Linked DNA regions of Neodiprion lecontei. The protein of the gene in region 1 binds, or shares a complex with, the protein of each later gene. Links are inferred from orthologs where the notes say so. Each region holds a gene or a part of one and is shown in the gene's direction. Other genes may lie near its edges.

Region 1 (7,749 bases):
ATCGTTAATAAGAAGTGTAACTCCTGATACAAATCAGAACACTATTTGACCATCAAATCCCGGCATTATCTGTTAGACGGATTTACCTATCTTTCGGCGAGGAAGGAAATATTCAAAGAAAAAGTTTTTGTAAACATTAAATTTGCACGTAAATTAAAGAGCGGAAAAAGAGTATAGCGAGAGGGCGGAATTCACCCCTGAGAGAGAGTCTTACATTGCTTGTTTAAAATGCTACGGAGGCTCGTCGAAGCGAATTATAAAAATAATGTGGAGAGAAGTTTCTTCTCATACTTCTCTTTTCTTTTTTTTTTTTTTTGCGAGATGCGAGGCGGGACTTGTACGGGACTAAATTGAACTGTCACAAAGAAATATAAAAACGAGGCGACGCGGGATTTTGCCTCAGGGAACGGAAGCAATATATTGCTTTCAACTAGAACTTGGACAATGCTACTTAAAACGACAAATCGTCACGCAGTACGGAGAAACGAGCTTGCGATAAATTTCATCGTACACTGAATTTTCACGCGATCTATATTCGCTACTGGAATTTGCTGCGCAGTTCTCTGCATATTGCGAGTGTTCAGTATTTCGGCAGCCTGTCTAAAACTGCAACGGATGATGGCTTGTTCAATTGCCTAATGCAGGCATAACTGAGATTGCTGCATGCCCCGAGGCCACGTTATATGAACGTCACGTAACGCGCACACGATATCAGATTATAAATACCGTACGGGTTTCGTCAGATTGTGAGAGGAGAGACCAGGGAATTGATTAAAAAATGCGCAACCGAAAAAGAAGACTGCGAAGTGGAATAATGCAACGTATGCGAATTGAAAATTTTGCATATTTTGCACGTGAACAAAATTTCAACGCATAGATGTACGGTTAGAAATTTTCATTCCTTCTCGAGCATTCATGCTTTATGAAATACTCGATTCGTTGGTCGGTCAGGCATTTTTACCATGTTAAAAGTAAGTGTAACGAACTTGTTGCCGATTGCAAATATTATCTACCACGATATCTTTCCATATATAGATGTAAAAGGTTTTACAATTAACCGATTACTCTATAAACTCAGGACTGGTACGTACATAATTTTTCAAAAATGTACGATGAAATACATACGATATACAATAAAAAAGGTCATTTCTCTGTAATACAAATTTTTAACAAACATATTCGTATTCGTTATTGCGTTGTTTAAAATTACATGAACTGAGACTTATTCGGGTCAACGGAGTGAAGATTTATAATCTAAATTTAGATGAATAGATACCGTTAAATCCAATTGAATTTCTTCATTATCTAATCTAATCTAACCGCCAACAATTTTGTACATTTAAAAAGATCTGTAAATTCATCATCGAATCCGGATCTGAACAGATCTCTGAATCATAAATAGTTGGATCAATTTAGATGCAAGCAAAAATTGCATCCCATTGAATCTGTCAATGTTTTCCCGGATAACTAATCCCAAAATAAACGACACGAGCAATCTCACTTTCGAAACGCATTGCCAATACTACCGCCGGCGGCGCTTGCGGGAGACCAAATATCTTCGTCTCCATATCTTTCTACGTCCCAGTCGTCGAATGCCGCGCTCCATTCTTCGATGCGCCGCCTGGCGGTCGTCCTTGAAACCTCTTCCGCCATCCAAAATCCCCGTCAGCGTCCAACTTCTGGATTCCAAATGGCAGTTAGCGCTGCGTGACTTGGGACTGAGTGGCAGGCCGACAAAGCAACGAGACGCGAACATTCGTGCGCAGCCGTTGCGCAGCTCCGTTAGCGTCGGCGCAGCTCTATGACCAACCGTTATTGTACGGTTCATGTGTATACATATATAAACCGGATTCGACAGTTGATTCGATTATTTTTGTCGCACCGGTTCGCAACTGTGCAAAGACGAGAAAATCAGATGCACTGATCAATCTCCTGGCGAAAATGGACAACGTCTCTGTCTCGAAGGTACGTTATCTTGCTACCTGTTGCGCTCTCAGCGTAACCTAACCACAATGCATTTGGCATTTACGAATGTTCGTTAGGACTGTACGGAGTAGAATTGGAAATTAGAAGTATCCAATCAGGGATCGCAATTTTCATTTCTGCATTCTCAACGCGATTTCTGATTGGAGGATGATCCCTATTCCTTGTTTGTCGTGATTTCTGTGCTTTTTATCGCCTAATTGGCTAAGAAATTGAAACTAGGCTTTATTTTATTGGCAGGGATTGTACAAAGGAAGTGATAATTGGCTGATTTTTATTTTGTTATCATTTTCTGTCGTTTCGCGTTTTTTCATGGCTTGGGAATTGTTAAAATTAATTTAAATATCTGGGAATCGATCCTGTAATGTCACTTTTGACATTTCCCACCATCGAAGCACTCTCATTCGTTGACAATACTTTGCAAACTAATCAAAAAAATTGGATGGTGGGAAATGTGAAAAGTGAAATTACAGGATCGATCCCCAGATACTCGTAACGATACAAGTTTCTGAATATCGTTATGTTATATCGATATGTTATCTCGTATTTTAAGTAGCGACATTTCTATGCCGACCGTTTTCCGCAATTTTATTTTTGAAGCTGCTTGGCGGGAGAAATAGCGAAACGAAATACCTATTAGTCAATATTTCAATAAATCACCAATTTAACGTTTGTTAAAACTTTTTGTTCTTGAAAGCTGACGATTAATTATTTTATACATTATTTCACTCGGCTCCTGTTTTGCTGATTCTACGGTAGGTTCTTTTTCTAGAAAATTAATCCACCAACGCAAACTTGATTGTCGTAATTAATTTTTTTAGCTGCCAAGCGCGGTTTCAGCAAAACCTTGATATTGAATCCGTACCAATTCCTCGATGATAAATTTAATGGAAACGTAAATGGTTCTGTAAAAATTTACTCATATAATTTTGAAGAGATATATGTAGAGCGTTTCGGCTCTATTCACATCGAGTTTTCTGGCCTGGAGATTGCTAATTTTTCTACAGTTAGTTTTTACGCCCTCGTCGAGTTCGATCGGATTTTTGTTTCAATCTAATTCTCTACCGAGATTGTTTCAAACGAATGCATGTATTTTTACGACCAATAATGCAGCATAAATCAAATTTCACTATACGTGTTTTAGGGGGTTTTTGCCTTCCAAGGAAGCTATAGAATTGGCCGCGGAAAGAAAAGGCCTGGAAAAGCACCGCTGTTCAACGAATCGTGGTACAAGGCCTACAAGGAAGTTTGGTCAACCATCGAAAAGTCTACTCAGGTAGGAAAAAGGGTAAAAAGTCAGCGCAGGTGAAATGCGCTAACTTGAGGCTCATCAATTGACCGCAATTTCACGTTGCATAATTGAAGAATAAGACAAAATAAGAATCGATTACTTATTGTAGAAAATAAATTCCGACATTTTCGCAAGAATCTCGGAAGATTTGAAGTCATACGTCTCATCGATAAACTACGATGATCTGTCCGGTGAAATACCCACAGCAATTTTACTAACCGGCAAGTACGATGACAAATTTGTTCTACTTTAACGGTATAATAATTATAGGTAAAAAAAGACTCTCACCAGGTATAATAATATACACGGTTATTTTTTTTTTTTTTTAGGTGTCAATTTACCCGATCACGGGGCGCTTTTTCAAATGCTAGCCAGAAAATTCCAAGATATTACCTCACACATAGCGATTATGCAGCAGAGAGACTCCTACAGCTTGAAAAATATGATGGAAGAAACAGTCTTTCAGCTAATTAACAATTCCAGGGTAATTGATTTGGCGCGGTGTACTTTTATATTTGTGCTTCGGTTCTTTGGCCAAAGTTTACTTTCAAGTGTCCATCCTATTTATTTTATTTTTTTTTTTCCTTCGAGGGAAGCATGAAAGTATAAATTATTGATTGAATTTCGTCAAGATCGCTTTTCACTTGTTCTTTCAATTATTGTTTATAATGGCCTACAAGCCCTTCAATGAGCACTTTTCAGTTATTTCTCATGAGGTATTCATTGTTTCGCAGAATAACCGCACAGAAATACAGAAAAACCATTGCACCTCAAGTATGCTGAACGCCTGGTATCAGGAATATGGTTCAAACACACCTCTGCTCATAATCATTCCAGATTTCGAAAGTTTCTCAGCTGAAATTTTGCAAAACTTCATTCTAATACTCAGGTAAATATGCGTAGGAAGAATTTTGAACATTATACGTATTTTATTGCGATTCACTTATCCGTAAGGTAATATTTTCAATTCTGAAAGCAGTATAAAAAAAAATTCGTTATTATGTATTGGACGATTTATATGTCTTGAGTGTTCATATTTAAAAAAAAAAAAAAAATCGTCTACTGTAACTGATTCTCAACAATTAGAGAAACAAACATCGAGGTCTGAAACATTCAGAACCCGTAATTATTAAATATTTGATAGGCAAGTTTAAGTCTTTCCGACAAAGAAAAAAAACAAAATATATGGCATTAATTGATAGCATCGAATTTTACGAATTTAGTTTCCTAATTTCCTTCTTTCCGCGTCGCACGAACATTACGGTTACACTATCGATTTACTTGATGTTTTCATTGAATTGCAAATGATTTATGCATTCAAATACTTGCTAATCTGTCTGATTAGTCTGACCAATCCGATTATCCACATATTTTGTCGTTATCTACACCTGCCAGTGACTAATACTTTTTTTCACCTACGAATACCCGTTTTTTTCAATTTATTTATAGCGTTTACTCAAAAACAATCAAATTTGTTTTAATTTTCGGAGTAGCGACAGCGGTCCACGCTGCGCACAGATCGTTACCGCATCACGTCACATCGAAATTGCGAGTTCAGGCAAGACTAATTTTATTATACGGTTACACCTCGTTAAATAAATCCGCAGAATTTAATCTGCACAGTATTAATATTAATATTTCCCGAAATTGTATTTTAACGACAAATTCTCACTGAATAATAATAAAACCAGTAATAATATATCCATTACAACAGGTTTTCCAAGCTCCGTCGCAAGTGAAAAGTCTCTCAGGTGTTTTGGACGGCACGGTCCTTTCCACGGAAACCCCGTTTAAATTAACCGGGCGCGCTTTTCAGTTACTCACCGACATATTTTTATTTTATGATTTTTCCGTCAACGGTTTCCTGCAAGGCTACAAGGTACGAAAATTGCTGTATTTAATCGAGATATATCGACGGTGATGCGCGTGATGTTTGTTTTTTAGATACAAGTATGTAATTTTATTCGGCACGTGAAGCTTTTTCCTCGTTTTAACCGTCTTTGTGTATTTTTTCCATTTTCCCTTCTTTTTTTGTCAGTTGTAAAACAATTTTAAATGTATTACGCAGGCTTCGTTGAATAATTCACCACCGCACTCGTATTATAACCGGCTACGAGCATTAATCATGTTATTCGAACGTGCTTATAATTACACGTTGTGAACACGTAGTTATATAATGTATACGCCGCATAATATAACAGAGGCCTGCATTGTTATTGAATTAATATCCGAGAAACATGAAATATTTCGGCATTATGCGTAATATATATGTAGAACCTATAACACAGATACACACGTTATATGTCACAAAGAACGAAAATCTGGCGGCATTGATCGCAGTAATTTCGCAGAGCATTTTTTACTTTTCAGATGTGTATGTTTCAACATTTTTATGGAAAGAATATCAACTCGTTGTGCTGCAACGGCGATAATATCGGATCGAGAATATCCGCGTTGAGAAGCGAAGATCTGGATGAGATAAAAAAATTAAAATCGATTGCTGAATACGTTCGAAAATTGCCGGTGACAAAACGCGACTCCCTAAACGACGAAGAGTTCAAGGTATAAAACGCACCAATTTCCTTACCCCTATAAAACCATGAAATTGAATGAATTAATTACGCCTTACCCCCCTCTATCTTTCCCATACAGGAATTACTGTCTACCTTAATAAATCAGGTTCACACCTTCACTCGCACCTTTCAAATTACCCTAAAATGTTTGCATCACCTCACCTCGGATCTACCTAACGCGCCTTTGGGTAAACAAGTAAGTTTTACGCTCGACTTGCAATTTTGATTGACGATGGATCGGCGTAAGTCCGCAGAAGAGATCGATCTGTATTTATTGTTGTTTCGATTTTTTATTTTTATTTTAGTAACTATGTACACCTTTTTTCACTCACTTTTGAGGAGACAGAGCGGTTAAAAATCGGCAATGATTTTCTAATTCTTACCACAAGATAGTCGTACATTCAAGATTTGTGAAATTGTTATTAATATTAAACTGTGAAGAAATCTTTGAAAATACACAGGTTAGACAACACTGAAATTTTGAACAAAAAATTGATTATTCATTTCTAAATGTTTTAAAACTGTTGAAAATTTGAAAGTTTCACTTTGGAATGCCTCATTTTATTCAGAAGACTGTTTTCTATGAATTCACTGGAAGAGATTTTCTTTTTTCTTTCAACATTCAACTCGATGTTATCAGTTTTTTTTTTTATTGTAGTCAATATTGATACAATATTACAAAATAAAAAAATATATAACGATGCCAATGAAAAAACGATGCGCCTTTTGAATAAAATTAACTATTGCAAAGTGAAATCGAACGAGTTTACTAGATTTTCACCAATTTTGAAACGATTTCAACCCAGGCTCTGATATATCTGAGCTTTTATTTATATTTCCGGTATGTTTTGCTATCTTAAAAGAGCTCTACGAATATAATAATTGAAGAGGTACTCAATGTACGACTATATCGCGCAAAAATTAATTAATGGTACCGATTTCTGCCAGCCAACCTCCAGAAAGTCATCGTGGCCGAGTTTTTACTTGCCAGGATCTCATAGATGAATCGCTTAATAATTTTTTGCCCCGTTTCGAAATCAGCTACGAGAAGTATACGCGAAGGCTGTTAGCTGCGCCATAACCGAATCCCAAGAGTACAAGGAGTGCCTGCAATACCTGGGTTTCATATCGAAAGAAGAACTTCTGACGAAACTTGATGCGATGAAAAATATCATCGAAATCTCTACCGAGGAAAAATTGTTGGCGGATGTTAAACTTGATCTGGAAAAATACAGGGAAGTCATCAGGAATGCGAGCCCCGAAGTAACTAAAGAAAACACGGAGGTCGTCGACCCGGGTGAAAAATTAAATCGGGCCCAGCTAAAAGAGGTACGAATCGATTCGCAGTATTTCACTTCTCACCTGTTGGGTATTATTTTACACACGGAAAATTCTTGCAAAGCTCAAAGCTTCACGAATGGACCGCCAATGCAGCGGAAACAAAAACAACCCTCATATCCCAATCGTTATTGTAATATCCGAATAAAAAATGGTATACTAACGCGACTAATGGGTGTGTAATTATTGTATTCATTGACATTAATTACTCGGTTATAATACGGGTGAATACTGTTGACGAGATTATGCCGTAGGGATAATTGGAATTCTCAGTTTCGGCACACGGTTTTATAACGAGTGTATTATTATATAGTATACTAGTGTGCGATTAAAATGTCATTCGTTTCCTGGCACGCCGAGTATATACTCGTGTATATGTTCATTGATTTGTTATCAGACTCATCATTGTGTGTAATGAAACAACGATTATTATTCCGGCTTTAAAATTGAACGTCAAGCTCATTAATTGTGCGTTAATGAATTTGGTCCACAAATTAAGCAAATCCCTGCGGGTTGTACCCGTAAATCTGCTGTCAGGTTAGTTTATTAATTCGCTTAACAAAG
Region 2 (4,431 bases), about 2.5 Mb from region 1:
ACGTCGTACAATTAGAGCTAAAATTGCTGTGTGTGGTGTGTCAAATCAGTTAGCACTTAGCTGATTGTTCTGTGATATTTTTAGACGAAATTTATTGTCTTAAAATCACAATACGTTATACTTACGTGCATGTGTAAACGTGATTTGTAGCATTATATAGACAAAATCTTACGGGCAGATTCGGTTTGCGCCACATGCACAAAGACAGTGTTTATTCTGTATACTGTGAAGCAAATACCAGAATTTTTTCCAATATACCTAACATACCTAACATAAGTAGAAACATACCTAAGAAGTAAAGACGCCTAACTCTGACTATAAGCCAACCCACTTGCTTTCGAAACTGTGTGACACGCTCATCACGCCGCAGGGTAAAAATAAATCTAATTGTATTATTAAGCAATCACTAGAGATAAGGGTTAAGCTCACCAGTCAGATCATTATGTACCAAGTAGCAATAATCGAATAAGGGAAAGATTAGTGCAGTAATAAGTTTAGCCCTAAGTTTGCGCGATAGCGCATTTCGATGATGTTTGAGCCACGATACAGGGAGAAATTAACTTTTTTGGAAATTTGCATAACCTCGAACCTCGTGAACATAAGGAAGCACTGTACCATTAACCGAGATAGGGGGCAGATCCTCCAGATCGATACGATTCAGATGCGTGCCACTCCCCGTAACAAAAACCTTGGACTTATTAAGATTGTGCTTGAGGCAGTTTTCAGCCGCATAATCGGCTATGACGCCAACATCGTGTGCGATCATGGCTTAACCTTCTCCTAAATCAGATGGGTGGCAGGTTAGATAAATTTTAGTATCATCAGCAAAAATAATTCGCTTCGAATGAGCAAGCTTAGCGCCGATATCATTGATGAATAATGAGAATAGCAGAGGCCCAAGAACGGACCCCTGGGGAAGGTGGTCGAAGGTGGAAGGAGGTGGTAGGAGTTGGTAGGGGGTGGTTGGAGGTGTTAGGAAGTAGTTGGGGGTGGTTGGCGGTGGACGCGGTTACGCGTCTTTTCGCGGGGATAATTGAGTTGATCGACATTTCTAAGTGGACATCAGGTACTCACTCTGTACCGACTCAATCTCAAGCTTCCATACGGACACTACTTTGGCTGCTACGAATGTCGGTGCGAGCCCGTTAGGTAGAGTCGATAGAGAGACCCTCCTACGCTCCCAGGCCCACCTGCGGCCACTTGCCCGCCGAAAATTGGTCACAAAAATTTACACAGGGGTATCCGTCTTTATGTTCTTCAGTTAACGTCTGTGTGTTTGATGATGGTTTGATGCGGGACCCCGTCATCTTTCATCTTTGGATGCCTATGGCGGGAACGTCGTTCGGTTTTGCAATCAGCGTCACAGACAATTTGTAGGTTATGTTCAGCGCTGGTTAGCACAACGACGCATCAAACGTGCACGTGCTATTTCAAAACGTCTAGATATCGTTTGGATGGTTGCAAATAAATAATAAACTTGTAAGTACTCAGAAATGAACGACTTTCCATGAATATGTGGAAACAGTGTACACATTTGGGTGAATCATCGACTCAACTCTGAATATTCTGTTTGGTTAAAAATATGATTATAACCTCCAAATAATAATTTTCAGTATTTCGTTAATTTTTCCGCAATAAAAAATGGTACGACACAACAATCAACTACCGGACAATCTTCCTCAACTGCAAAATTTAATCAAGCGTGATCCGGAGTCATACAAAGACGAGGTAAGCTGGTATATAATATTTTGCATTGAAATAAATATATTATGCATAATGGTCTGAGATAACAATGAATGCTTGATAATCTAGTTCTTGCAACAACACCGTCATTACAAATCAACTTTGGAAGTCTTCCGACTGACGCCTGATACATTCAACAAAAGTCTCGATGAATTGGTGATTTTTCTTGCACAGGTAAGGCTGATGTTTATAGCAATCTCTACTGTAAGTCCGTCCTGTTCGCATTTTTACTACTTAAACTAGAACTTAGCTTTACACTTTAATGCTTATAAATTTATAATAAATAGTAACTATTCTCATAAGCAAAGCTTTATTAACAGCAATTATGCAGAACCACTTCTTATTACACAAAAAGACATTATTGCCCTAGACTAGTGCAATTTTCATTTGCGATAGGTGGTGTTAGGTACAACAGAACGATGTTGTTTCGAATTGGCTACATTGTAAACAGCCAGAGTCTGCACTTTATTTCTCTTAAGCAGCGGTCTGATTTTTCGATGTAACTTGACAGAACACGTTTAATTTCAATCAGAAGGATATCATTTTTTCAATTGGCATAATTATTCTCAACACCACGAAAGATAATAAACAGAATCTATTGTTATTTTCTTTCAGGTCTGAGCAGCGTTTTGTCAAGTTGCATTGGGATCAGCAGTGTTGTATTTTGAGTTGATAAAGCATAAAGACTGTTGCCGAAAGCTTTAATAGATAGTTGGAGAGTATAATTTGTACTCTTTCAATTGTTTAATAAGTGTGCTTGGACTATTAATATTAACAATGAAGAAAACTATGGAAAAATGCCTGAAATCTCTCGGACAGAAAATAATATGCAGAGACAATCTTATAAAATGCTTGTTTTCTCTAATTGGTTTTTCAGATGAGGAAATGGTGCAAAGCATTTTTGTATATGGCCATACAGCAAGTGGCAAGTCTCTGGTTATTGAATCTCTGTTGGCTTACCTTAAATATAATGTTTGCATCATCAACTGCGTTGAATGTTACAGCAGTAAACTCATCTATGAACACATTTTAAATGACTTGTCTATGCATGAAATGAATTCGAAAAATAATTTCACAGTTTACCAGAAATGCGATAACATGATGGACTTTATTACTTACCTACAAATTGCAGTACAAAACGATAAGCGTCGTATAGTTATTGTGTTTGACAAATGTGATCGGCTGCGCGATATGGATGTGAATTTATTGCCTGCACTTGTGAGGCTGCGAGAACTGACTGGTTTGGATCTTTGCACAATCTTTGTCAGTGACATTGTTTGGGAAAAGTATTACTCAAAAAATGGTTTATTGAATCCTATTAAAATTCACTTTCCACAGTACACACGGGAGGACATGTTGAAAGTATTATTTTTATACAAGCCTAAGGATTACGAGGATGGATTTTACGTGAATTACTTAAATTTATTTTTATCTGTGTTTCTTAGATGTTGTAGAGATTGTAATGAGCTACGGTACATGGCTAAAATAAATTTTGATAAATATGTTGAACCTGTTGAATCGGGTAAAATTGATAAGAATGATGTACGCTCTTTGTGGCGGAATATATCTGGAATTTTAAAATCAAATTTAGAAGTTGTTTATCTCAGAGTGTCTACTGATGATTCTGAGCAACGTACTAAATTGTGTCAAGAGATTGAATCTACAACGAAATTGGCTTTGAGCTTTGAACTGCCGTTCTATGCAAAGTACATGCTCATAGCTGCTTACTTGGCTTCTTATAATCCAGCCAAAGATGACAAACGCTTATTTGTCAAACGTAGTAGTAAAAAGAAAAGGCGAAACACTGTGACTAAAAAACCTGCCAAACTTAACACACAGTTAGGGCCAAAGGCATTTACTTTGGACAGAATGCTCGCGATATTCTACGCGATTCTTGACGAAAAAGTAGGATTGACTGCCAATCTATTGGCACAAATACCCACCATGTGTCAGTTAAGACTATTGAGCATAGTAGGTGATAATAATTTAGATGGTCCCAAATATAAGTGTTGCGTCAGCTATGATTTCATCGTTATCATTTCTAAGACAGTTGGGTTCAATGTTAGGAATTATTTGTATGATTTCATTTAATGTATGTATTTAATGTGGACTTGCCAGTTTTCATGTTTCTTTTAACTATTTTCTATGGTTAGTGGGAACATAATATTGCTGTTAAGAATATTTATTTCCATTCAATTATTTCTTTAGTTGTATTACTGTAGTAGTATCTTTTGTATTTTTTTTTTGCTATAAATAAATGTGAAATAAGATAAAGACAAAATCCTTGGAACACTTAGTTAATGATCTGACCGTTCAAGCTAGAGTATCCAAAGTATGTAACTTCAGTTCATTACTCAAAACTCATTCATTCAGAATTCGTCGTATTATGTTTGCCTTGTTTCTATCATTGTAGGTAGCTCATTGCTATTCAGAAGAGTTGACAACTTTTCCTCAAGAGCTTGTGGATATTCTGCAAACACAAAACACTGTTCTGGACACTGGAATGAGAATGGTGACCAAAGAGTATTGATGTTTGGTGTACAGGTGTGGAAGATTGCAAATTAACGCATTTCATTTTACAGACGTTCTGCAGGGCACTAATATTACTTCGAAATAAAGGACTTCTGGAGCCAACTGCACTCTTGAGCTTGTTTTTTCAGCTACTGAGATGTCAGGATAAAGCTTTAA
Region 3 (5,120 bases), on another chromosome or scaffold:
TAATATATGCAGATAGATCGTAACAATTTGGGGGAGTGATAGTGAAAGGTTCAAGCTTGGTATCCCCACTCGCCATCCGCTCGATTAGCACAAAGGAATGTATTCGAAGTATGTCGAAAATATTATTTTTCGCTCTGGGGAGTAAAACTATTAGCGTGAAAGTTTACGAATCGTCATCAACACTCCCAGCCTATCTAATTGTGGTGAACATCCCCAGCATATCTGATTGCGGTGTCGCCATCCGGTCGATTAGCACAAAAGAATGTATTCGAAGTACGTGGAAAATATTATTTTTCGCCTTGGGGGCAAACTGTTAGCGTGAAAGTTTACGGGTAGCGGCGGAAAATCAAAATGGTATGTCGAATGTAAAATTTTCGCCCTGGGGGTAAACTATTAGCCTGAAAGTTTACTGATCGTCATCAACATTCCCTGTCTATCTAATTGCGATGTTACCATCCGGTCGATTAACACAAAAGAATGTATTCGAAGTACGTGGAAAATATTATTTTTCGCCCTGGGGACAAACTATTAGCGTGAAAGTTTACGGGTGATGGTGAAAAAATCAAAATGGCCGCCATCAAAATGGGCGCTCGATAGCGAACGTCATAGCGAAAATCACATTATCAAACTGTCCGACGATAAAAAATCAAAATGGCTGCTCATCCGGCTAAGCAAAAATCAAAATGGCTGCTCATCCGGCTAGGAAAAAATCAAAATGGCTGTTATCAAAATGGCCGCTCGTCCGAATCAAAATACATATACAAACAAATATCGTCATAAAAAAACAAGGCCAAACTAAAGGCATAAAATACTTTACACACTATTTCCGTGAAAACTGCAAGCCCTGGTTCCACAACAAAGACCTCTCAAGAGAATGTATAGTCACGATAAACCGTTGCAGAGCGAACCACTACCACCTACGCGCCTTCCTTTTTCGCATAAATGTTACAGACAGCCCAAATTGCGACTGCGGTGAATTTGAACAAAATATTAAACACGTACTGTGGCAATGCGTATTATTTGACCAACAAAGAATAGAGTTTTTCAGCAATCTATCTAACTCTAACTTACGCCCCCCACTGAATATTGAATTAATAATTTGTAAACCTAACTTAAGCGCCTGCATCTATATTCAATGCTTTCTGAATACATGTAACCTCAAAGTATAAATTGTCAAAACTCAATACAAATAAGTATAATAACTACATCAACCATTATAAGACTATTGTAAACTAAACTTTTGTATGCAGATATAAACCCTTACAAGGGTTTCAAATGCTTAAATAAAAAAAAAACAAAAAAAACGTGTCAAATGAACGCGGGGATGTAGATTTTTACTCGTAATAGGGTACGCCAGAGAATTTTTACAGCATGGCATCTAAATTTACAAGTATCGAGACAGCGAAATTCACCGGTTCGATTTTCATTGTTACAACGCGTGGCTCGCGGTGCTGTCGAATAAAAAGTGGTCGTTAGATTATGCATACTCGAATCATCATCAACCCGGAATATCATTCTTGCATACAAATTGACAATTTACCGTATAGGAAAAGTGTCTCATCAGAATTGGATGCAGACTATTTGCGGAAGATTTCGGGGCTAGGTGCCGAGCTCACGAGCTGAAAGATGGAATGCCTAGAGGAGATACATGGAATGAACACACTTTGTGCATCTGAAAGGGGACCCTCGGACATGGTTTCAATGGATTGCAGGTATGTTGTAGAGGTATTTGCCCCAAGTTTTGTCACTAGGATAACGGGAATTTATGCACTGTGGCTTGGTTTCCGAGAAAATCGATGGCTTACTAAATATCAATAACAAACATTGATTTAGAAAGTTTTTTTTCAAATTGCGAATCCGTCAGGGCGCAGCGTCTGATGCGCTGTTTGAATAAAACAAGCAATGCGATCAACGTTACCGACGGACGTTACTCAATTTTCCCGAAATGGTTACGGATCTTTCAAGGGTCGTGATCACAGCTCGGGCAGTAAACTGGGCGAAAGTGTTTGTGTTTGGATCTGTGAATTGTAAACATTTAACCGTGTCAGCCTGCCGAGTGCGGTGAAGTTCTCGTTTTTTAAATCCAATAAGTTGAAATAAAATTCTCCCTGAACTGTGAATTTTTTCACCGTAAGTATACAAAATTCTGTCTTATTTTAGTCGACACTATTTCTTGGTAATCGGATTGCGATTTTTATTCATCATTTTTTCACCAACGATTATCGCACCGCACGCAACCGTCATAACCTAAACGTTTATTTAATCGTCCGTACGGATAAATGAATGTTATAAAACTAATCGCACGAATAACGGGCTAAAAATGTTGTAATCATTATCTTTCGATAGTGAAAGAAATCAAACTCAGAAACAAACAAGAATAATTATGAGCAAAAAGCAGAACATGGCTATAGATTTCCACGACAATATGATACTACTGACCAGAAAGTATCTGAAGCGAAAAATCATGTGTCCAGAAACAAAGTTCAGGCATCACGTCAAGGAGCGAGTACATATTCTGGATTTGTTGAAAAGGACCGTTGAAAACGGCGAGAGCAATTCGGCCTTACTGATCGGTCCCAGAGGATGTGGAAAAACCACGGTAAGATGTGGCCAAAAACATGTATGCAAATATCGGAGACTAAAAGACACAAGAGTAACGCAAAGTAGCCTGTAAATCTTTACAAAACGTATCTTTCATTGAATTTAGCTCATCAACAGCGTACTGAAAGAGCTGTCGTCGTTAAAATCATTCAAAGATGAAGCACTTGTCGTGAACTTGCATGGTTTAGTTCATACGGATGATCGTCTTGCGCTCAAAGACACCACACGTCAGATGCAGCTGGAAAACGCAGTCGGTGACAAAGTATTTGGCACGTTCGCAGAGAACTTGAGCTTCCTTCTTGAATGTCTCAAGTCTGGGGACAAGACTCAGTCCAAGCCGGTAATTTTTATTCTGGACGAGTTCGACCTGTTTTGCGCCCACCGAAACCAGACTCTGCTCTACAATTTGTTCGACGTTGCGCAATCTGCACAGGTGAGCATCACGCAAGAAATAAAACAATAGTTATATATATCCCTCGTTGTCCTCAATTTTGTCCAGGCCCCGATATGCGTGCTTGGAATCACCTGCAGGCTTGATGTTATCGAACTTTTGGAGAAGCGTGTCAAGTCCAGGTTCTCACATAGACAGATATTCCTTTTTCCGGGCGACACATCTGGCTCAGATCAACCCACCTCAGCTTTTGACGATCGTCTCAAGTTGTTCCAGCACCTCCTCAGTCTGCCTGATGACGAAAATGTAAACGAAACCGATCAGCAGTACGAGGATTGTAAAATAAATCCGCAGTTCGGCGCCAGATGGAACGAGTACATAAAAAGTCTGACCGAAAACATGACTATGGTCAATTTTTTGAAGAGAATGTACCAGCTGGATGTCAGCGAGAGGAGTTTCAGAAACTTTTTGGCCCTCGTTATATCGTCGCTGTCCGAAAAACATCCGAAATTAGAAGTGAATGATTTCGTTGAGGCTAATAAGTTCTTCCATCAGGACGACAAGGTTCTCACCCTTCAAGGGTTGTCTGTTCTAGAATTGTGCCTGGTGAGAATTTCACCTTCGAACGAAGGGACGCGAGTCTGTTGAATTTCCGATTTTATCCACCTCTTTTTGCAGATTATCGCCATGAAACATCAGACTGAAATATACGACGACGAGCCGCTGAATTTCGAAATGGTTTTAAACAGATACGTCAAGTTCGCTAATCAGAATTCGTCTATTCAAACCGTCCAGCGACCTGTGATCATGAAGGCTTTCGAGCACATCAAGGTGAGCATCAATGTGCCATTTATACTCCCATTATAGATAACGGATGATTGAAATTACAGAATTTGGAGCTGATTCAGCCTGTTGGAGGGCCGAACACACGAGTTGAGAAGGAGCATCAGCTCTATAAGTTTTCACTCGGTTGGCAGCAGATAGCCGATGCCGTTAAAAACTATCCCGAGCTTCCGACTGAAGTTTCCCAATGGGCGGTCAGCAGTTTACAATAGAAAATCCGTGCATTTAACTAACTTTAATGAAATGTGTTAAACTTGAACAGTTCTTTGACAATAGGATTGTTGTTTCGTTTTATTTTACATTTTTTTCCCTTCGTATTGAACGACGTTCCCGTTACCAGTATTCATAGGGTTTTACGTGCAACCCTTATTATTGTATTCGATAGATAAATATGAAACATGCGTAGAGTTTCTAGTTCTATACTTATATTTAATTATGTTGGTTATACCTTGAAATTGTAGACTAATTGTGTAGCCAATATTTTATTATTATTAGTACTACTGTAAAGTCTAGGCGAAAAAATGAATTACGCGATTAACAGATCTCGTCTCTTGATTATCTCATTGTATTATTTATCTCTTACGTACATGTATTTTTCAAGTTCAAAGCTTTAATTTATTTATTTACACTATTTATTTGCATTTCGGAAAACACGAGAAAACAAAATGAAAAAGGAAACTAGAGAAGGCAGAACAAAGAGTAAGAGAAAAAAAAAAAATAAAAAAACGTGTGGATTGTATATTTACTCAGTAATAAGACGTGTTTGTATTTCTATTTATACAAAAGTTTCTATAATATAAATTTATACATTGAAAAACGATGTAAAGTGAAAATCTTATCTTGTTTTTACGTGTTTACTTGTTTCATCCATCACACCTCGTTTTTACTCAATCCACGACAACTTTGGAGTCTCTTTGCCCTTCAATGATTTTTTTAAAAGATCCTTCACCCCGGATTGTATTCGGTTGTTTTTCAAACCAGTCACTTTTCCCGGACTGCGCGCCATTAATTTCTTCAGCTTTTGGGCTCTCTGGCTGCGGTTGTATCTCTCCAAGTACGATTCGTGCCCTGTGGAATCGAGTTGATAAATTTTTATCAATTCCCCCTCTTAAATGCAACACGATAAAAAATATCAAACCTGGGTTGAATCCTATTTTCAAAACATTCTCCAGTCGAATTTGATCCGGGAATGGACGAAGCGCGGAAACCGCTCTGCTCACTCCCACCTGAAAATTAAATTGAAACGTATGCGTTAAAATTCACACGCGCGAAATCACTACCTAAT
Region 4 (7,197 bases), on another chromosome or scaffold:
TTGTGCTATCGAAAGATCGAAGGTTATGTATACTTTAGAAGTAATATACAAACAAATCGTTTTGTCTTAATCAATGAAATTCCTGAGAAAACGAGTTGTTAAAAACTAACAAATGATAAGTTCTATGTTTGATGCGCATATATTTCATAGCATGAGTTTTTGAATGAAAAGTTCAATGGTCAATGGACATTGAGTATCTGATACGTCACAATGGAACAGTATGAAGGATTGATGGATACAATGGAACAGTGTTCAGTTAGGTTTCAGATTCTCCGACGCTTAATATTTCTACTAACAAACTGTGAATGTTCATGAGGTATCTTCTTTTTTTGTCCTTTGTGATTTTGAATTCGCTGAGTATTTCGGTACGGATATTTTCTGCGGAATAAGAGATACAGTAATTCATTAAAGTAAAATATATTTGAAATACAGTGTTCAATATACTTATGAAATATATTCAATTTATAAATTTTATTCGTAGTCATTTTTATTTTAAGTTTACTTTTATGCATATTTTACGTCACGATCTATCTTTTTTAAGTAATATAATATTCATTTTACAAGGATTGTTCAGTTGGGTGAACAAAATTGATGTACATCTATTCGTTGCAAATTCTTGTACCTATGGAATCAATGTAGATATACATATTAGATTGCAGCATACTTTCCGAATTACTGTACTAGAATTGCATGATTATTTGAATATTTAGCTAGGGCAAATGGGATTAGTAAATTCTTGTATTCGGTATTTACTCAATACAAATGTTAAGAACTTTGTTAAATGACAAAGATATATATATATATGGTTGTGTTGGAATTTTACAACTTGAAATGTACACGTCTGCATTTTAACATTTAACAACCAAAAACAAATAAGCAGAATAGTGTTTAGCACATTCTATAAAAGTACATAATACAATGTTAAAAGTCGTGGAAGTCAAAATGACTGCACTAATATCTACATCACTGTAACAAATTTTGCAAAAATGAACTGTGTTTGAAGTTATCAAACTGGCATGTAAAGGATCTTCAGTTGATTGATTGTTCCATTTTTTATACTTTACAAAATTTTTGGACAATCATTATTGGTGATTGCAAGCGATGAGTCCTTTCGCGTTTAATTATTTATTAAAATCATACACAGGTATCGATCTCAGTTGAAAAGTGTCGGGAGTATATAATTGTCTTTTGAATTTGAATTTATGTAAGTGGTCTCTCTTTCTCTCTCTCTTTATTATTTTAATACCTACAACATCATGTATGTAATAAAATAATACTTGTAAATTAACAATCACGTTTATTAATTTACAACACCTATGTCATTCAATTTCATTTATAGACCCTGTTTAAAAAGAACATGTGTATAGATTTCTGGGAGTTTGCATTACGATAACGTTATGATGGTACATAACTTTGTACCTCATGTGAAAGATGGAATGAATCACAATAAAAACTTTATTTTTGAACAATCAATTGATGTATTTATTTGAAAATGAACATGATATAATTATTTTTAAAATTATTTCTTAGAACACCGTTGAATTAAAAATTACAGTAAATGAGAAATATATTCTTAAAAACTTCCAACCTTTAATTCAATGTTTAAAAATACATGATTATTTCTTTTACTTAATATTTATACAGTTTGCGAAAAAATTACATACACATGTATTGGCAACGGGATTTTTGAAGTAAATTCAAGTAGCGTCGTCAGAGAAATTCGAAAATTTACCAATCACTCGATGCAAACAAAAAAACGTCTCGCCTCGCGATTTGAATATGGCGCGTAGAGTTTACAAAATGGCGACGATCGGCCTCTTTTATTTGCAGGCCCTGCAACTAGAAACAGACCTGCACTATGATTGGTGGCTTCTAGCCATCCCAACGATGTAATTGGCTCACAAGAAATATAGGCATGTACACGTTATTCCCGCTCTTATGTTATATCACGTGGTGTATCAGTGCTACCCTCATAAGCATTATTCATTTACCGACTCCGTCTGGAGCAGAAATTTGATTCTTCTGCAAACAAATATTTCCCGATGGCCGAACGCAGCATAAATTTGCGACGTTCTACCCGATTAAAAACATCTTCGAAGCAAGCAACAGAGGATTCTACAAAAGGTTTAATACGGGGAAACAGTCAATAATATATCTCAGCAACAAGCCAACGATTTAAATCAATTGTCAAACGTTCTGCCGTTTGTTATTGTTTTCAACACGTTGAACTACCGACTTAGATCGGTTCATTTTCACAATATTGCTGCATGATTATAAGCGAAAATTATTTCGTCGACGCTGTTTTAAACTGTAAGATTAGACACGTGTTGAGAAAAGATGTATTGAGTTTAGGTGACATATAGAATTCTGCATTGCTGAAATTACAGCCCTGGAAGAATACTTTTCATTTATTATAGATAGATGCTTTTCACTAGGGATTCCCAAATTTTATGTGTGCAGATACATTATAGTCACGTTTGTATTACAGGAGTGCAACGGAAAAGGAGAAGCCGCAAGATTAGTTCTAGCAGTAGTGATGGGGAACAAACTCCGGATGAGCTGGCTAGAGAGTTGGAAGATGAATTGAAAATTATTGACGAAGATGTACAGAAGCCAACAGGTAATCAACTTTGACGTAACTCATTAATGCAGGAACAGTAACTCTGGTGAATTTGAGAATTATTCGGATTATTTTCGCAAAAAGTTCACGAGCACAGTCGTAATATTTGTATAATATGACAACCTGTAAGTAGTATGGACAGTACTTTTCATCAACCGATAATAGAACATTTTTGCATATATATTTCTTGTTTTATGTTTCCCAGAATTATATACCGAAGAACAAGATGTCAGTGGTGCCAGCATGTATCATTTTCCAACACCTTCTAAAAGTGGAGCAATGGCTCAAAAAGCTGCCCTCAGCCGATCAGCAGCCACTCCTCAGACACCGAAGCATGCTGCTAAGCAAAAAAATGTTACAGATACTGCACAAACCCCGCACAGTGTTCGTAACAAATTCAAGAAACGTGAGTATCATATAACTCGTTATTACCCTTGTTGCCATCGTCTTTTCAAGTTAATGTGGGGGTACTCTCATTTCGAAGAGAAACATTGAATATTAAATGCTTGTATCAATGTTTAGAATTGGTCTCTCTTGCTCGTAATATATCTGGCGAATCATCCAGTGAGAGTGAAAGTGTTTCTGAAGAGAACGAATATGTGCCATCAGTTGATGAGGAATCTGATGATAGTGAAGAGGGAGAAGAAGTAAAAAGTTCTGAAGGTTCGGAGAGTGATGTAGAAGATAACAAAAAGCAAATCAGAAAAACACCTGCAAAGGTTGCTCCTTCACGTTTATCAACTTCTAAACCAAAACGGAATACACGTGTCACTTACACCGATTACGTGAGTTTCATATTCTGTCTTTAATGAAAGGAAGCTGGCTAAGTTGTTATTTCGTCCTTTGTAAGTGGCAGACTTTTTGATATATGATTTATATTTTTATAGTACACATGAATAAAATTGTTACAGCACCTGGAAACGGATGATTACTTCGAAATGCAATCGGAAAAGGTTTTAACTTCCGATCGAACCTTAGGAAGGCTGGTGAACCCACGAATGGATGAAGAAAAATTGCAAAAATTATTATCCAAGCAGAGCTTTGTTTCTAAAGAACATAAAGAAGCCATCAGGTCACTCTCAAGGGACTACAGAGCTTTGTTTCCAATGTGGCACTGCATATTGGAGTAAATAAAATAATTATGCACTATTCTTCAATGTTTTACGAAATATTTTAACTAAACAAGAACAATATTTCTAGTAGATCGCTTATGATTATCACATGCTTTTATGAGATAATCGAAATTGAAGTTTTTTTTTCCTTTCAGAGAAGGCTACAGTCTGTTACTTCACGGTTTGGGATCAAAAAGGATTTTGATGAATGATTTTCATAAAGAAATTCTGTCTGATCATCCTACACTTGTTGTGAACGGTTTTTTCCCCAGTCTTACGTTGAAAGAGGTGAATCAGTTATCACCGTTGGTGTACCAGACTCGTGTATTTTTCCTTATTGACCAATTAATTTATTTCCAAAGATACTGGATGGTATAACAACCGATCTTCTGGGGCTGCAGAGTCCGACGAATCCAAACGAATGTCTAAGCTTGATCGAAAGTACCCTCAGAGAGAATCCCGAGGATCGGCTTTACTTGTTAGTGCATAATATTGACGGAGTAATGCTCCGCTCCAATAAGGCCCAAGATACTCTCTCGATTTTAGCTAGCATTCCAAATCTTTCACTCATTGCTTCCGTCGATCACATTAATACACCTCTCAGTAAGTTTCATTACTCATAAACTTTGAATTCATTTTATTTGGCATATTATAAAATCATCAGTAAGCAACTATTCGAATTTGCGAATCGAAATTGAATAGTACACAAAGGTAACAGTAAATTTCCCCTCTTTGGTATGACGTTTTTCTGCATATGTCTTACTTGAATGCCTTTCACTAATTTAACTGAAATATCAACTTGATAGATGTCGAGTACAATTATGAACATTCCATGATTTTTCAGTATGGGACAACGTAAAGCATTCACGGTATAATTTCTGTTGGTGGGATGTAACAACAATGTTGCCATATGATGCAGAGACGTCTTTTGAGAGCTCGATTATGGTACAGAAGAGTGGAGCGCTCGCCCTCTCCTCTCTACTCAATGTTTTTCTCTCCCTGACTTCGAACGCACGTGCTATTTATGTGCTTCTCATTAAACATCAACTAGAACACGCAACTAGCGACAACTATCCTGGTCAGTCTTTGTGTTTAATTACTTATCCCGTGATTTGTATCTGCATCTATTCTGCAATATTCGAACGAAATTATAATCGTTGAGACGATGACGTATATATTCATCTTTTAACTAGCTAATAATAAATCTTTATTTTTCTCTATTAAGGTATGCTATTGAAGGATCTCTACTCGAACGCACGTGAGGCTTTCCTTGTTAGTTCAGACACGGCTCTCAGGGCTCAATTAACTGAGTTCATAGATCACAAACTAGTGCGTTCCAAGCGGAATTATGATGGTGCAGAGTATCTCAGTATCCCGCTGGATAATACGTTACTAAAACAATTCCTTGATCAGCAAGAAACTGCGTAACGAATTTGGTGATTTACTTTCCAATTTTTCTAACTTGTGCATAGTGCCTTAGTAACGATAATTCACATATACGCATCATTCATAAGCTCAGTAAACAAAAATTCGTATAGTCGATTTTCTTCATTGGAATTACTCAGTTTTAAAATCAATTTTATTCTTTATAGCCATTCGTTCTCAATAACACACATTAATGTATGTACATAGGTTTCACTCGTATTACGTAGTTCCGTAAGCGTTAAATTATGTATATTAGTCGTTTATTTTTTTCCTTCTTAATCCGGCGTGATTTCGCGAAAAAATTCTTGATGAAATAATTTGATATTTGTATTTGTGATTTTCAGTAACTTTAAAGCAACTCTCTTCTTTCGGTTTTACGTGTAACGAGCAAAAATTTTAGTTTATTGTTGTGAGAAATGCTATGTGATGTTATGATGTTGAACATTTCGTCTTTCGCCCCGAAATTCGTCCGCAGGCTTTCACTTATTTGAAATTCAACCATCAGGTGTCTCACAAATGAAAAGCAAATCGGAGAAAAACGTGTTTGTCTTATTACTTAGCTAACAATTTTGAGCGAGATAGGAAAACGCGTCTAACCATACGTCATTATTACGGCAACTGCAGGGAATTAGGATTGAAAACGGCAAATCGTATTTCTAAGTGACCGAATTGTAGACCCATGAATTGACGTTCTAAATCCAAACACTGTTACCACCAGTCCGTTAATTTTATCTTCGCCTGAATTGGTTCTTAAATCCAAAGTCAAAATAATCTACAACAAAAATAAACGTAACTACTTCAATTTACGTATTGTCTATGAATAATGCTGTGTTCAATCAATGCTTTATTTTGATGCTATTCAACGGCATTTCAGTATATCAGGACAAATTTCGGTTTCAAGAAAATCGCGATTTCGGTACTATCTGCGTATACGTATGATCACATTTGGCTATTTCGGCACAAGATGACGGGATATGTTGTCCAGTAAGTACCGCCATCTGGTGTGCAGTGAATTTGAAGTGTGCGCGGTAAAAACAAAATACAAACACCTTTTAACAGTGCAGCCAAAGCATAGGTTTGAAAACGAGTTAATTTTGAAAATCCTTCGTCCGTGAGAATAGAATCCGAGTTAATTCGGTCGCGAGGAGGATTAAAAACGTTTGCAACAAAAGCGGGAGTGTAATCGCCGGTTTCAAAGTCCTCAGAGCGTGTAAGAATCGTGGTAAACGTCCGTATTTTCTCGGTGTTGGTAACGCTCGGTAGAATCCATAGTCGCATTCGGTGTTTCTGAGTAAATTGTGCGTGTGTGATAAGACGGTTCTCGCTCCTTAGAGTATATTTATTAATTACCATAAACACATACAGTCTGAAATGTCAAATGCCTCGATTGGTTTGAGGTGAATTGCGTTTAACTCCGAGTGATACTAAAACCGCGAAGTTATTCCTCGTCCCTCACCCTCCGAATCACCGTAATTACGAAAGGTGAGTACTTTACGCATATCTATTCGTACATACGTTCGTTCGTCCGTAATGCAAAGAAAAAAAAAAGAAGGATGAGAGATGGTAGACAAATCACACATACAGATAGACAGAAACGATTGCTAAAGATTTTCAAGGCTGCTAGCACGTACGTATCGCACTTATGTTAGTCAGTCAGTCAAAGAGGGACTCTTTGTTGCGCAGCGACTGAACAGGGTTGAACGTCCTTGACTTATCACGGGAAAATATTAATCCGTGGCCTCAGTTAACTCGGCAAACTTCACTCAGGATCACCGTTTATACTTCGTTACATTTTCTGCGTTCTCGACACTTATTTCGGCTCAGACGCAGCTTCTCGGCACGCGTAACTTCAACCTAACCTGACCTAACCCCTCCTGTTTTCCCTCTGCTTTGACCACCGACGAAATTCGAGTCCGTCAACGGCTGCATATCGAGGATTAAAGAACAAACTAACCTATCCAATCGTATCTTCACTGTCGGATAAGTATGTGAGACCGATTAGGTATGTGTGATGCTCGAGTAGGTGTTTAGTTTACGATA

What was found.
Region 2: the proteins of origin recognition complex subunit 3 (region 1) and origin recognition complex subunit 5 are in contact, whole or in part, in a crystal structure (PDB 4XGC), measured with the Drosophila melanogaster proteins. The link is inferred for Neodiprion lecontei from reciprocal best matches to the Drosophila melanogaster genes Orc3 and Orc5. Residues at the interface, in NP_476904.1 of Drosophila melanogaster: Ile105, Gln107, Leu140, Lys141, Val144, Cys183, Thr184, Met185, Lys186, Gln187, Glu213, Cys214, Asp222, Leu225, Ile226, His230, Ala243, Thr244, His250, Tyr255, Ser258, Ser259, Arg262, Leu263, Ala270, Pro272, His302, Ile303, Leu305, Tyr306; in NP_477132.1 of Drosophila melanogaster: Ile72, Glu73, Tyr75, Ile79, Glu82, Asp86, Asp94, Arg130, Tyr291, Met292, Arg293, Ile294, Glu295, Leu319, Glu320, Leu321, Pro322, Tyr323, Tyr324, Ala325, Asp383, Leu386, Ala387, Tyr390, Val397, Leu399, Thr400, Cys401, Asn402, Leu403.
Region 3: the proteins of origin recognition complex subunit 3 (region 1) and origin recognition complex subunit 4 are in contact, whole or in part, in a crystal structure (PDB 4XGC), measured with the Drosophila melanogaster proteins. The link is inferred for Neodiprion lecontei from reciprocal best matches to the Drosophila melanogaster genes Orc3 and Orc4. Residues at the interface, in NP_476904.1 of Drosophila melanogaster: Ala217, His250, Gly251, Leu253, Pro254, Tyr255, His256; in NP_477320.1 of Drosophila melanogaster: Lys395, Glu398, His399, Ile402, Lys419, Lys422.
Region 4: the proteins of origin recognition complex subunit 3 (region 1) and origin recognition complex subunit 2 are in contact, whole or in part, in a cryo-EM structure (PDB 7JK6), measured with the Drosophila melanogaster proteins. The link is inferred for Neodiprion lecontei from reciprocal best matches to the Drosophila melanogaster genes Orc3 and Orc2. Residues at the interface, in NP_476904.1 of Drosophila melanogaster: Gly10, Cys11, Phe12, Val13, Tyr14, Lys15, Asn16, Ala18, Thr19, Arg20, Ser38, Leu39, Leu40, Tyr50, Tyr53, Arg54, Asn106, Pro108, Arg135, Asp136, Ala142, Arg177, Arg180, Asp308, His312, Gln316, Lys319, Tyr320, Met323, Phe327; in NP_731873.1 of Drosophila melanogaster: Ala331, Ile332, Lys342, Met344, Cys345, Ile346, Leu347, Asn348, Glu349, Phe351, Tyr356, Leu358, His369, Lys375, Thr377, Val378, Leu379, Val380, Val381, Asn382, Phe385, Asp392, Ser396, Asp400, Ile401, Leu402, Asp403, Asn410, His412, Glu413.

What each region holds. Positions count from the first base shown.
Region 1 is NC_060262.1:25,317,313-25,325,061, forward strand, and holds the start of origin recognition complex subunit 3, read left to right. Parts: upstream 1-1,739; 5' UTR 1,740-1,941; coding exon 1,942-1,965; intron 1,966-3,127; coding exon 3,128-3,259; intron 3,260-3,383; coding exon 3,384-3,495; exon of another isoform or gene 3,496-3,499; intron 3,500-3,603; coding exon 3,604-3,758; intron 3,759-4,008; coding exon 4,009-4,163; intron 4,164-4,723; coding exon 4,724-4,832; intron 4,833-4,988; coding exon 4,989-5,153; intron 5,154-5,644; coding exon 5,645-5,836; intron 5,837-5,926; coding exon 5,927-6,043; intron 6,044-6,888; coding exon 6,889-7,176; intron 7,177-7,749.
Region 2 is NC_060262.1:27,787,896-27,792,326, forward strand, and holds origin recognition complex subunit 5, read left to right. Parts: upstream 1-1,810; 5' UTR 1,811-1,812; coding exon of another isoform or gene 1,813-1,917; intron 1,918-2,358; 5' UTR 2,359-2,520; coding exon 2,521-3,834; 3' UTR 3,835-3,915; downstream 3,916-4,431. Other genes in the region: protein SDA1 homolog, read left to right, coding at 1,642-1,728, 1,813-1,917, 4,157-4,255, 4,326-4,431. UniProt on the Drosophila melanogaster protein: Component of the origin recognition complex (ORC) that binds origins of replication. DNA-binding is ATP-dependent, however specific DNA sequences that define origins of replication have not been identified so far.
Region 3 is NC_060263.1:16,666,671-16,671,790, forward strand, and holds origin recognition complex subunit 4, read left to right. Parts: upstream 1-1,967; 5' UTR 1,968-2,130; intron 2,131-2,346; 5' UTR 2,347-2,383; coding exon 2,384-2,599; intron 2,600-2,707; coding exon 2,708-3,034; intron 3,035-3,100; coding exon 3,101-3,598; intron 3,599-3,670; coding exon 3,671-3,823; intron 3,824-3,882; coding exon 3,883-4,047; 3' UTR 4,048-4,584; downstream 4,585-5,120. Other genes in the region: putative ammonium transporter 3, read right to left, coding at 4,719-4,903, 4,974-5,061.
Region 4 is NC_060263.1:6,987,616-6,994,812, forward strand, and holds the start of origin recognition complex subunit 2, read left to right. Parts: upstream 1-1,965; 5' UTR 1,966-2,042; coding exon 2,043-2,124; intron 2,125-2,172; exon of another isoform or gene 2,173-2,310; intron 2,311-2,488; coding exon 2,489-2,620; exon of another isoform or gene 2,621-2,745; intron 2,746-2,825; coding exon 2,826-3,026; intron 3,027-3,142; coding exon 3,143-3,405; intron 3,406-3,531; coding exon 3,532-3,746; intron 3,747-3,887; coding exon 3,888-4,020; intron 4,021-4,094; coding exon 4,095-4,335; intron 4,336-4,576; coding exon 4,577-4,810; intron 4,811-4,957; coding exon 4,958-5,160; 3' UTR 5,161-5,168; intron 5,169-7,197. UniProt on the Drosophila melanogaster protein: Component of the origin recognition complex (ORC) that binds origins of replication. DNA-binding is ATP-dependent, however specific DNA sequences that define origins of replication have not been identified so far.